Linked DNA regions of Oryctolagus cuniculus. The protein of the gene in region 2 binds, or shares a complex with, the protein of the main gene of each other region. Links are inferred from orthologs where the notes say so. Each region holds a gene or a part of one and is shown on either strand. Other genes may lie near its edges.

The links.
Region 1: the proteins of NFS1 (region 2) and FDX2 are in contact, whole or in part, in a cryo-EM structure (PDB 8RMC), measured with the Homo sapiens proteins. The link is inferred for Oryctolagus cuniculus from reciprocal best matches to the Homo sapiens genes NFS1 and FDX2. Residues at the interface, in NP_066923.3 of Homo sapiens: Gln153, Lys157, Leu160, Asp161, Arg164, Ala168, Tyr175, Ala384, Ser385, Leu386, Glu387, Pro388, Tyr390, Arg393, Gln456, His457; in NP_001384335.1 of Homo sapiens: Ala104, Cys105, Glu106, Ala110, Cys111, Pro141, Leu142, Ile169, Thr170, Arg171, Asn172, Phe173, Tyr174, Val175, Asp176, His178, Lys181.

What each region holds. Positions count from the first base shown.
Region 1 is NC_091447.1:67,066,357-67,070,695, reverse strand, and holds the start of FDX2 (ferredoxin-2, mitochondrial), read right to left. Parts: upstream 2,900-4,339; 5' UTR 2,833-2,899; coding exon 2,694-2,832; intron 2,616-2,693; coding exon 2,561-2,615; intron 2,392-2,560; coding exon 2,285-2,391; intron 215-2,284; coding exon 127-214; intron 48-126; coding exon 1-47. Other genes in the region: RAVER1 (ribonucleoprotein PTB-binding 1), read right to left, coding at 4,139-4,285. UniProt on the Homo sapiens protein: Electron donor, of the core iron-sulfur cluster (ISC) assembly complex, that acts to reduce the persulfide into sulfide during [2Fe-2S] clusters assembly on the scaffolding protein ISCU.
Region 2 is NC_091442.1:22,508,043-22,512,547, reverse strand, and holds the start of NFS1 (cysteine desulfurase), read right to left. Parts: upstream 2,999-4,505; coding exon 2,902-2,998; intron 2,343-2,901; coding exon 2,248-2,342; intron 1,550-2,247; coding exon 1,433-1,549; intron 863-1,432; coding exon 779-862; intron 1-778. Other genes in the region: ROMO1 (reactive oxygen species modulator 1), read left to right, coding at 3,349-3,479, 4,361-4,469.

The DNA.
Region 1 (4,339 bases), on a different chromosome or scaffold from region 2:
GCGAGTTCTCCTGCAGCAGCGGCGCCATGTCCAGCAGGTCGTCCTCCCTGGGGCGGCGGGGGCGGCGTTAGCGGGCCGGCGGCGGCGGCGGGGGCCCACGCGCGGCGCTCCGAGCGCCCCACTCACCTCTCCTCCGGGGCAGGCAGCAGGTCCAGGTGGGCCTCACTCACGTACACGTGGCAGGTGGAGCAGGCCAGCGAGGCTTCGCAGGCCCCTGCGGGCGGGAAGCACAGGGCGCGGGTGAGCAGGTGCCGCTTGGCCGAGGGCGGCGGGGAGGGGCCCCTGCTTTCCCTCCAGGGCCTGCGCGCCCGCGGGGTGCCCCACCACCCCACCCTGTACTCTGCTAGCTCTGGTGGCCGGGGGAGAACCGCGCGTCAACCAGCGCGAGGAGAGGCCACGCGGGGTCTCTGGTCCCAACTCCCTCCCGCTGCTCCTGGGGGAGGGGCCAGCTCGCTCCGTGCCCGGCCGCATTGGGAGGGGCCCCCACCCCCCATGAGGACCGAAATAGGCAGAAGCGGGGGTTTCCTGCTGACCACCTGCCCCTGGGCATGCTCCCGGAACCCTCTGACGGAACAGTCTGTGCTTGGGGAGTGTCCCTCGTCACCTAAAACCTGCCACAGGGTTTCACACCCTGAACAAAATCCAGAACTTACCCACCCAGGCCTGGAGTCCCCCCCCCCCCCCCCGCCTCCCATTACCCTCAATGCAATGCGAACACAGCATGCTCATCCTACCACAGGGCCTTTGCACCTGCTACACTCATGCATGACCGGGGATGCTCTTCTCATCACTGGCTCCTCCTTGTCTTTGGGGGTTCAACTCCAGTGGTCCCTCGAGTCCCCACGTCCTATTTCTTGTCTTTCTCCCCCTTGATCACCTTCCCCCACTGTAATTCTGAAGAGTGTTTGCCAACCAAAGTGAGGGCGTTAACCTCTGTGTTTACCTGTCCCTCCTCCCTCCACTCTCTACAGGCGGAGGACAGACATACGGGCCCCGCCCCCCTGCTGCCCTCTACGAGATGCCTGGGAACCAGGAACCCCGCCAGTCTCTCCCCTAGTGGGCAGCAGGGAGCCAGCTATTGCGGCGGCCACCTGGGGCTTCCCAGGAGGCGGGAGCTGGTGCCGACCCTGAGTGCCCCCTCTGCCCCACTTTCCTGAGTGGCCCAGGCCTGTTTAGCCTGGGGCTGGTTCCTCATCTAGAAAATGCAGCGGGTCTGGTCTCCTCCAGTGTGTACAGTTGCCATGGAAATGCAGGCAGGGGCTGGCACCTGCCACACCAGGGCCCCACAGGAGCACAGGTTCGAGCCACGGCTGCCCGACTTCCGATCCTGCTCCCTGCTAATGCGCCTGGGAAAGCAGCGCAGGATGGCCCAAGGGTTTGCGCCCCTGCCATCCACAGGAGAGACCCGGATGGAGCTCCTGGCTCCTGGCTTTGGCCTGGCCCAGCCCTGGCTGCTGTGGGTATTTGGGGAGTGAGCCAGCAGATGGAAAATCTCCCTCTCCCTCTCTCTCTCTGTAACTCTGCCTTTCAAATTAATAACTTTTAAAAGCCAATCAGTTCATATGTTAACATACTTAATTTCTTTCCTTTTTCTTTATTTATTTGAAAGGCAGAGACACAGAGAGGAGAGAGAGAATCTTCCATCAGCTGATTCACTCCCTGAGTGGCTGCCACAGCCAGGGCTGGGCTGGTGGGAGCCAGGAGCTTCTTCCTGGGCTCCCACGCCAGCGGCAGGGGCCCGGGCACGTGGGCCGTCCTCCAGAGCAGGACCAGAAGTGGAGCAGCCGGGACTTGAACTGGCGCCCACGTGGGATGCCGGCACTGCAGGCGGAGGCTTAGCCTTCGACGCCACAGCGCCGGCCCCGGTGTTAGGTAATTTCTGCTCTTTTTGTCTTTAAGATGCTGACCTAACACCTGCTACATTTAAGGGCTGAGATGGGCAGCGGGTGGGTAAGAATGAGGCCCACAGGGGCTCTGCTCTCAGTGGGGACAGATGACAAAGACAGAACAGGGAGACAAACGCACTGGTAGGACAGTGACAGGGCCGTGGGGACTTCCGCTGGGATGAGGGAGACGGGGCTGCCCAGAGCTAACAGGTGGGACGAGAGGGAGCCAGAGCAGCCTGGGAAGGTGCATCCGACGGCGGGAGCAGCAGGTGCAAAGGTCCTGGGGCTGCAGCCCCTCCGTGGTGGGGGAGCCCTTGGGGAGAGCCACTTCTGACGGGTGGGGCTTTTCTGGGAGAGCGGATAAAGGCCTCCCCAGATTGCCGGGCCGGGCCCACTACCTTCCAGGTCCAACCCATGGCGCTGGGCCAGGTGCAGCACATTGTCCCCGACTCTGCCGCTCACTGGGATCCGCTGGCCGGACCGGTCTACGAACACCACGTTGACTCTGGGGACAAAGGGGGGCGTGGACGCCGGGATCGCCCCCGCCCCCCGCCCCGCAGAACCCAGGTTTAGGGAACCGGCAGGGGCTGAGGGGGGCGAGGCGAACAAAGGCCCGGAGGCGGCCGCGGGCCACGGCGAGGGCTGAGGAAGAGGGGCGAGGCCCCAGCACTCACACGTCCCCGGGCCGCTCGGGGCCGCCGTTCTCCTCCTCTCCCGCCGGCCGCGCGCCTGGAAAACACGGTTGGGTGAGCGGCCGAGCCCGGCCCCGCTGGCATGCGACGGGTTAACGCTGCCCGCGCCCGGTACCTGTCGCCCAGAACTTCCTGATCGCCGCCGGCGCCTCGCCGGACCCTGAACAGCTCCCGGGTCTGCTCCGCCAGGAGGTCCTCGCCGCCCGCAGCAGGCCCCTAGCATTCACGCCGCCCCGGGCCACGGAGGCGGCCATGACAGGCACCACGTGACTCGGCAACCGAGCATGCGCAGGCCGCACCCGCGAACCGCGGCCCGTAATCCTCCCAATACAAGCGCCACCGCGCTTCAGGGCGGCCCACCCCGGTTGCAGGCGAGGCAGGATGGGGCGCGCGGCTCTGCGTGGCCATCCGAGAGTCCTCACCCGGGCCCACTGCTTGACCCCAAGAACCAGCCAGCTCTGATTTCTTTAAAACCGTTTACTTACAAACTTTAATTCAGCAAAGGTCTGTGTGGGAAGGTAGGGGAGAGGATGTCGTTGGGGGGTGGGGTCCCCCAGAGGAAAGCTGGCGGCCCAGCAGGCCGGGGCACACTCAGGTGGGACAGGTCCTGCTGGTGCGCAGGTGCAGGGCCCGTCGGCGCGGCGTTCGTTGGCTTCCGGCACTGGGCCAAAAGGAGGCCAGCTCCGGGCTCCAGCCTGGGGATGCAGATGGGGCTTGTCTTCCACGAGGGGGGATGGCGGCGGCTCAGTGAGGCGGGCAGGGTGGGGGGAGCTTCCACACACAGCAGGGGACTGCACCCGGGCCTGGGTGGGAGGGGAGGTGGGGTGCTTTGCCAAGACCACAGCTTTGGCCTTCTCCTGTCCCCAGGGTGGAGCCCGCGAGTCCAGGGGGCCATCCCCAGGCCAGAGCTGTTTGGTCCTGAGTCAAGAGGCTCTGGCCCGCCGGCCTGCGGCCCAGCGTTAAGGCATCAGAAGGCGCGGGGACTTGTGGCGCGGACGGGGACGGGAGGGGGGCACAGGCCAGAGCGGGCAGGCAAGGGCCAGGAGACAGCCGTGCCCGCAGTGGACGTGGGGAAGAGGGCAGGGCCGAGCGGTTTCAAACTGCAACGTGTGGAATGGAGGCCCAGGAGGGCGGGACCTTGAAGGACCAGAGCTGGGGGGTGGGGTGGGGTGGGGTGGGGGCGCCCTGGATGGTTTAAAAAATAATAAAAATCAGAAAAGGAAACCGAAGTCAATTGTCGGAGTTAAAAAGGGGGGTGAGGGGACAGTCTGCTCCTCACGGGAGGCCGGGACCTCCAAGGCACTGGAAAGGCCCGATCAGGGGGGAGGGCGGGCGGGGGGCCCCTCTCTCTTAAGGCTGCGGGGTTTCAGCGCGGGGAGCAGGCCCCGGGCGCCCCCATGCCCCCCGGGCTCCGGCCAGCTGCTCAGCAGTCTTTCTGAGATTTCTCTATTACCGAAAGAAAGAAAATTCAAAAGAAAAAAAAAAAAAACACAAAACGAAACACCAGAAAACCCAAAAGTGATTTGGTGCGGGCCCTGCGGCTCGTCCGGCACCAGCCCCCTAGAAAATCCGCTTCCGCTTCAGGTAGGAGTCCGCGTAGTGGCCGCCGAGGCCCTGGGAGTGCTGGCCCACGTAGCTCCCCTCCGGGCTGGGCTCGGGCGAGGGCAGCAGGTGGGCAAAGCTGCGTTTCTGGCCGCCCAGTGGGGTCTGGAGACAGAGGGCAGGGGGAGCCGGGTCAGGGGCCGCCCCAGCGCCGGGGCT
Region 2 (4,505 bases):
ACAGATTTGACTGGAAGGAAAAGGGAGGAGCTACATTATGGCACAGTGAGTTATGCCACTGCCTGCGGCACAGGCATCCCATTCGAGCAATGGTTTGAGTCCCAGCTGCCCCACTTTCAATCTAGCTCCCTGCTGATGCACCTGAGAAAGCAGCTGAAGATGGCCCAAGTTCTTGGGTTCCTGCCACACACATGGGAGACCTAGATGGAGTCCCAGGCTCTTGGCTTCTGTTTGGCCCAGCCCTGGCCACTGTGGCCACTTGGGGAGTGAACCAGTGGATAAGAAAGATCTCTCTCTGTTTCTTCCTCTCTCTGTAACTCTGCCTTTCAAATAAATAAATAAATAAATTTTTAAAAAAGAAAGAAATGAGACTGCTACAATGAGAACAGCCCCAATATATAAAAGGGTGAAGCTATAGCATGAAGGAGAAACATGCCTAAGTACAAGTGATTCGGGACTTCCTTGTTACCAGATCACAAGAATGAGGCAGAGAGTTCAGTCGTCATTATCAACTTTCTGAAGTAGCTGCCACCCAAGAAACCAAGTGGTTAATGGCCTGAGAACCACAGCCTCTCCTACCAACTGCCTCACTGAACTCAGGCCAATAGACAAAGACTTAAAACAGAGTAGACTGCAGAGGACTGAAGGAAAAGCAAACCAGGAGTGTTTTCTCGTCACAATAATGAGGGGTAGGTAGTTGTGAAATATATGTCTGAGCCTAAATGATGGAGAAATACTTCTCTCTCGAGTCAGGAAGACGCAGATCTGCTTCTCTTACCTTAACTGCTATGTTGTTAGACTCAGTAGCACCACTAGTGAAAATGATCTCGCGAGGATCAGCTCCAATGAGAGATGCTACTTGCTGCAAGCGAAGAAACAGATGCATAACATCAGTTCCCACACTATGGGGACATCGGTCTAGGCAAGCGACTCCAGACACGGCTGGGCCAGAGCTCTGGAGGAGAGAGCTCCACAGAAATCTACCAGTGGACCAGGAAGAAGCGCTCTGCGTCCTAGGGTCAGTGACAGCCCATATCCCAGGCTTTTTACCAGCCCCCAATAATACTATTCTGTGTGGTCTTTCAAATGCACTTATTGAGCTCTCACTATGTACAAGTATTGTGTTCATCAACACTTTACCAGTACGGTCTCATTTAACCAGCTCAGCAACCCCAGGGAACAGGAATTATTGCAGTCTCCATTTCATATTTGAGAAACTGAGGTTCAGAGAAATGAGGTAACTTGCCCAAGGCCTTTTAACTAGGAATTGTGGGAAGTAATCAAATGCCTGCAGTCAGACACCAAGGTGCTGTCTGTATCTCTTCCAGAAAGAACCTGAAACCATTTCCACCCACTTCTACCAAGAAGGAAATGCCTCCCACAGGCCACTAGCCCTCTGTCCTCAGAACCTCCCAGACACCTGTGAACTAACCTGGCGAGCGCGTTCCACGGCTGCCTCACTCTCCCAGCCATAAGCGTGTGTCCGGGAGTGTGGGTTCCCATAGTAGTTGACCAGATAAGGAAGCATGGCATCAAGTACCCGCGGGTCCTGGGCACAGCAGAATAGAATCCGTTGTCACCTCAGGGCCTTCTTTCCCACTCCTACATACCCTGCCCACACACTCCTGACCAGTCAGACACTGCCTGCCTGGGGTTTCTCACATTCTTCCACCTCCTCAGATACTAACCAAATACGACCATAATATACTCCCATCTCCCAAGGGGTCCTACCATGCCCTTTCTCTATCATCTCCTCCATGGTCTACAAACACTTCCTTGTTCTGAGGGCTGATGGCTGTTGCTGCAAGTTTTTCCATTCCTGCCAGAAAATGTGACCTCTGAGGGGCTGGGACACGACAGAGCCCAGGCAAACGCCCCTTGTCACACAGAGATGAAAATTTTCATTAACTCTCGAGTGCTGACCATATGCTGGGCTGCTTTGTGTCTTTTAACCGATTTGATACCAGCCCAATTTCACCTAGCTATGAGATGGTACTCCTGCTAACTTCAAGAGCCCATGCTTACTGTAACCACTTCCATCGTGCCTGCCCTGCCTGCCTAAATCCAACGGCAGAGCCACTTCTCGTGGACTGCGGTTTAAGCCTCCTGAGTCCCGGCTGGAGGCACTTGCCGGCACATCTCAAAGGGCTCTCACGTCTACAAGAATCCAGCGATTTCTGGGCACTGTCACTTCCACTGCTCACTTCCTGTGGACAGCCCTGGGGAAAGCTGCCGCTCCCTTCTTACCAGAGGAGTTGTAGCTTGCACATCCATATAGAGAGGTCGCAGCACTGCCTCCACCTCCGGAGCAGCGGCTGTGCCTGAGGGAGCATGGTCCGCCACTGTCAGAAAAACAGAAGGAACGGAGCGGCCAAGTGAGAGCCTGCGGCGGAGGACGCCGGGCTGCCGTCAGGGCGGGAGGTGAAAGCGGGATGAAGGCGGTGGTAAATTCGAGCGATGCCGGGGTCAAACGGGAAGGGAAGGAACACAGCATCAGAGAAGCTCGGGACCCTCTGAAAGGTGGTAAGGGGTAAGGCGGGAGCCGGTTCTTGGAGGAAGATGCTGGGGCGATATTTAAATTCCCTGGTTGGGAGTGAGAAGAACTCTCAAGGGTAAAGCCCCGTAGAAGGAATGCGGAGACAGAGCAGGTGAGGTAGCGGGCTGGGAAGAAGCCGCGGACCGCGTCTCCAAAAGACGGCTGGGGCGGTCCGAAGGACGAGCCTCGTAGGCTGTCCAGGTCTGCTGCGCAGACAGACTGAGCGCGGCGGACGGCAAAGGGCAGAGGCTCTAAGGCAGCCGGGCCGGACAAGGAGGTTCCAGAATATCCAAGTGCGTAGTGGCGCCCAGGGGCAAAGACGCGCGCCTCCAGGGAGAGTGGCAGCGAAGAGCCCAGGAGCGTACCGCGCAGGCGCAGCTCCCGGGTGGGCACCGCAGGCCTCGCCCCTCGGGCCGCGGTCACCGCCGAGGCCGCCCGCCGCCAGGCGGATCGCAGCAGCATGGTCGCGGCGGCCGAGCCCACCACCTGGAGCGGCGGCCGACTTCGGCCCCAGGCTCCCGGAAGTGCTGCCTCGCGCACCGGAAGCGATTCCTCGGGCCACGCGCGCGCCCCGCCCTGCTTCCCGTGTGAGACGTACTGCTGAGCGACCGAGGCCGCGAGCGAGGTGAGGAGGGGCCGTGTGAGCCCCGCGACCGCGCGACGCGGGAGCCCGAACGCGAAGATGGTGGTGGAGGCGGGCAGCGCGCTGATTCCCCTCCTTTGACTTCCCCGAACCCCTGGGCCCGCTCCCCGCCCTGCCCGACTCCCGGGCTGGCGGCTAGGCCCGCACTTTCCTCTCTCGCATTCCGCAGATGCCGGTGGCCGTGGGTCCCTACGGACAATCGCAGCCAAGCTGCTTCGATCGTGTGAAGATGGGCTTTGTGATGGGCTGCGCCGTGGGCATGGCGGCCGGGGCGCTTTTCGGCACCTTCTCCTGTCTCAGGTGAGGAGCGCAGCGGAAATCTCCGGGCGGCGCCGCGGAACCCGCCCGGCTCGCAGCCCCAGTGGCGCGTCCTTCGTTCCAGTTCCCAGCTGTCCTGACCGCGTGCAGCCAGGAGACTCGGGTTCAAGGCGTCCGAGCCTAAGAATCTGAGCTCCAGAGTCGTTCGGCTGCTGGTTTGGTGACTTAAGACAAATTGGAGACTTGAGTCTCTTCAAGTGTAGGGTGAGGTCGGTAACACCAGCTCAGGGAGAGGCAGAAATCAAGCACAGCATCTGGCACGTATTAATTAAGTACTCAGTAAATGGTTGCTACTGCTGTTCTGAGTGGGCAAAATGAAACTTGCTAAGCGGCTCTACTGTCTTTGAAAACGATGTACAGATGAAGCAGATATACTCCATACTTGAAAGTCACTTTACCACTTGAAAAAGTTATTCCCATTTTCCTACATTACGAACTATCGTTTACTGAGGATTTACTGGTGCTAAACTACTGTAGTTGTCAAAACATTCCGGCAAATGTAATACTAATACAGCCTGTGAATTTGCAGAACAGTCTCCAACCTGGGTCTCACTCAAATCTAATACCAGAAAACGGTGTCTAAAGATAGGTGTCGTTATTGGATCATATAGAGCCTGAAGTCAAAATCAGCACATGTACTTCACCCCATGTCTGCTGCCACCAGTAAACTACAGGCAGTTGGCCCTAAGAATGTCCTGTAGACACTAATGGATCTTTCTTCTTATTACCCTAGATGGAAAGAGATCGGATTTAAGATAGAGATGTCTAGATTTTAACAGGGCTCAATATATTACCAGAGTGGAAACGAACAAATGGTCAAAAATTTTTGTTCCCAAATGTCCCCATCCTGGTTTCCTCCTCAGGATCGGAATGCGGGGTCGCGAGCTGATGGGCGGCATTGGGAAAACCATGATGCAGAGTGGCGGCACGTTTGGCACATTCATGGCCATTGGAATGGGGATCCGTTGCTAACCAGGGCAATGGCTCCCCACTACAGCTACACTTCCC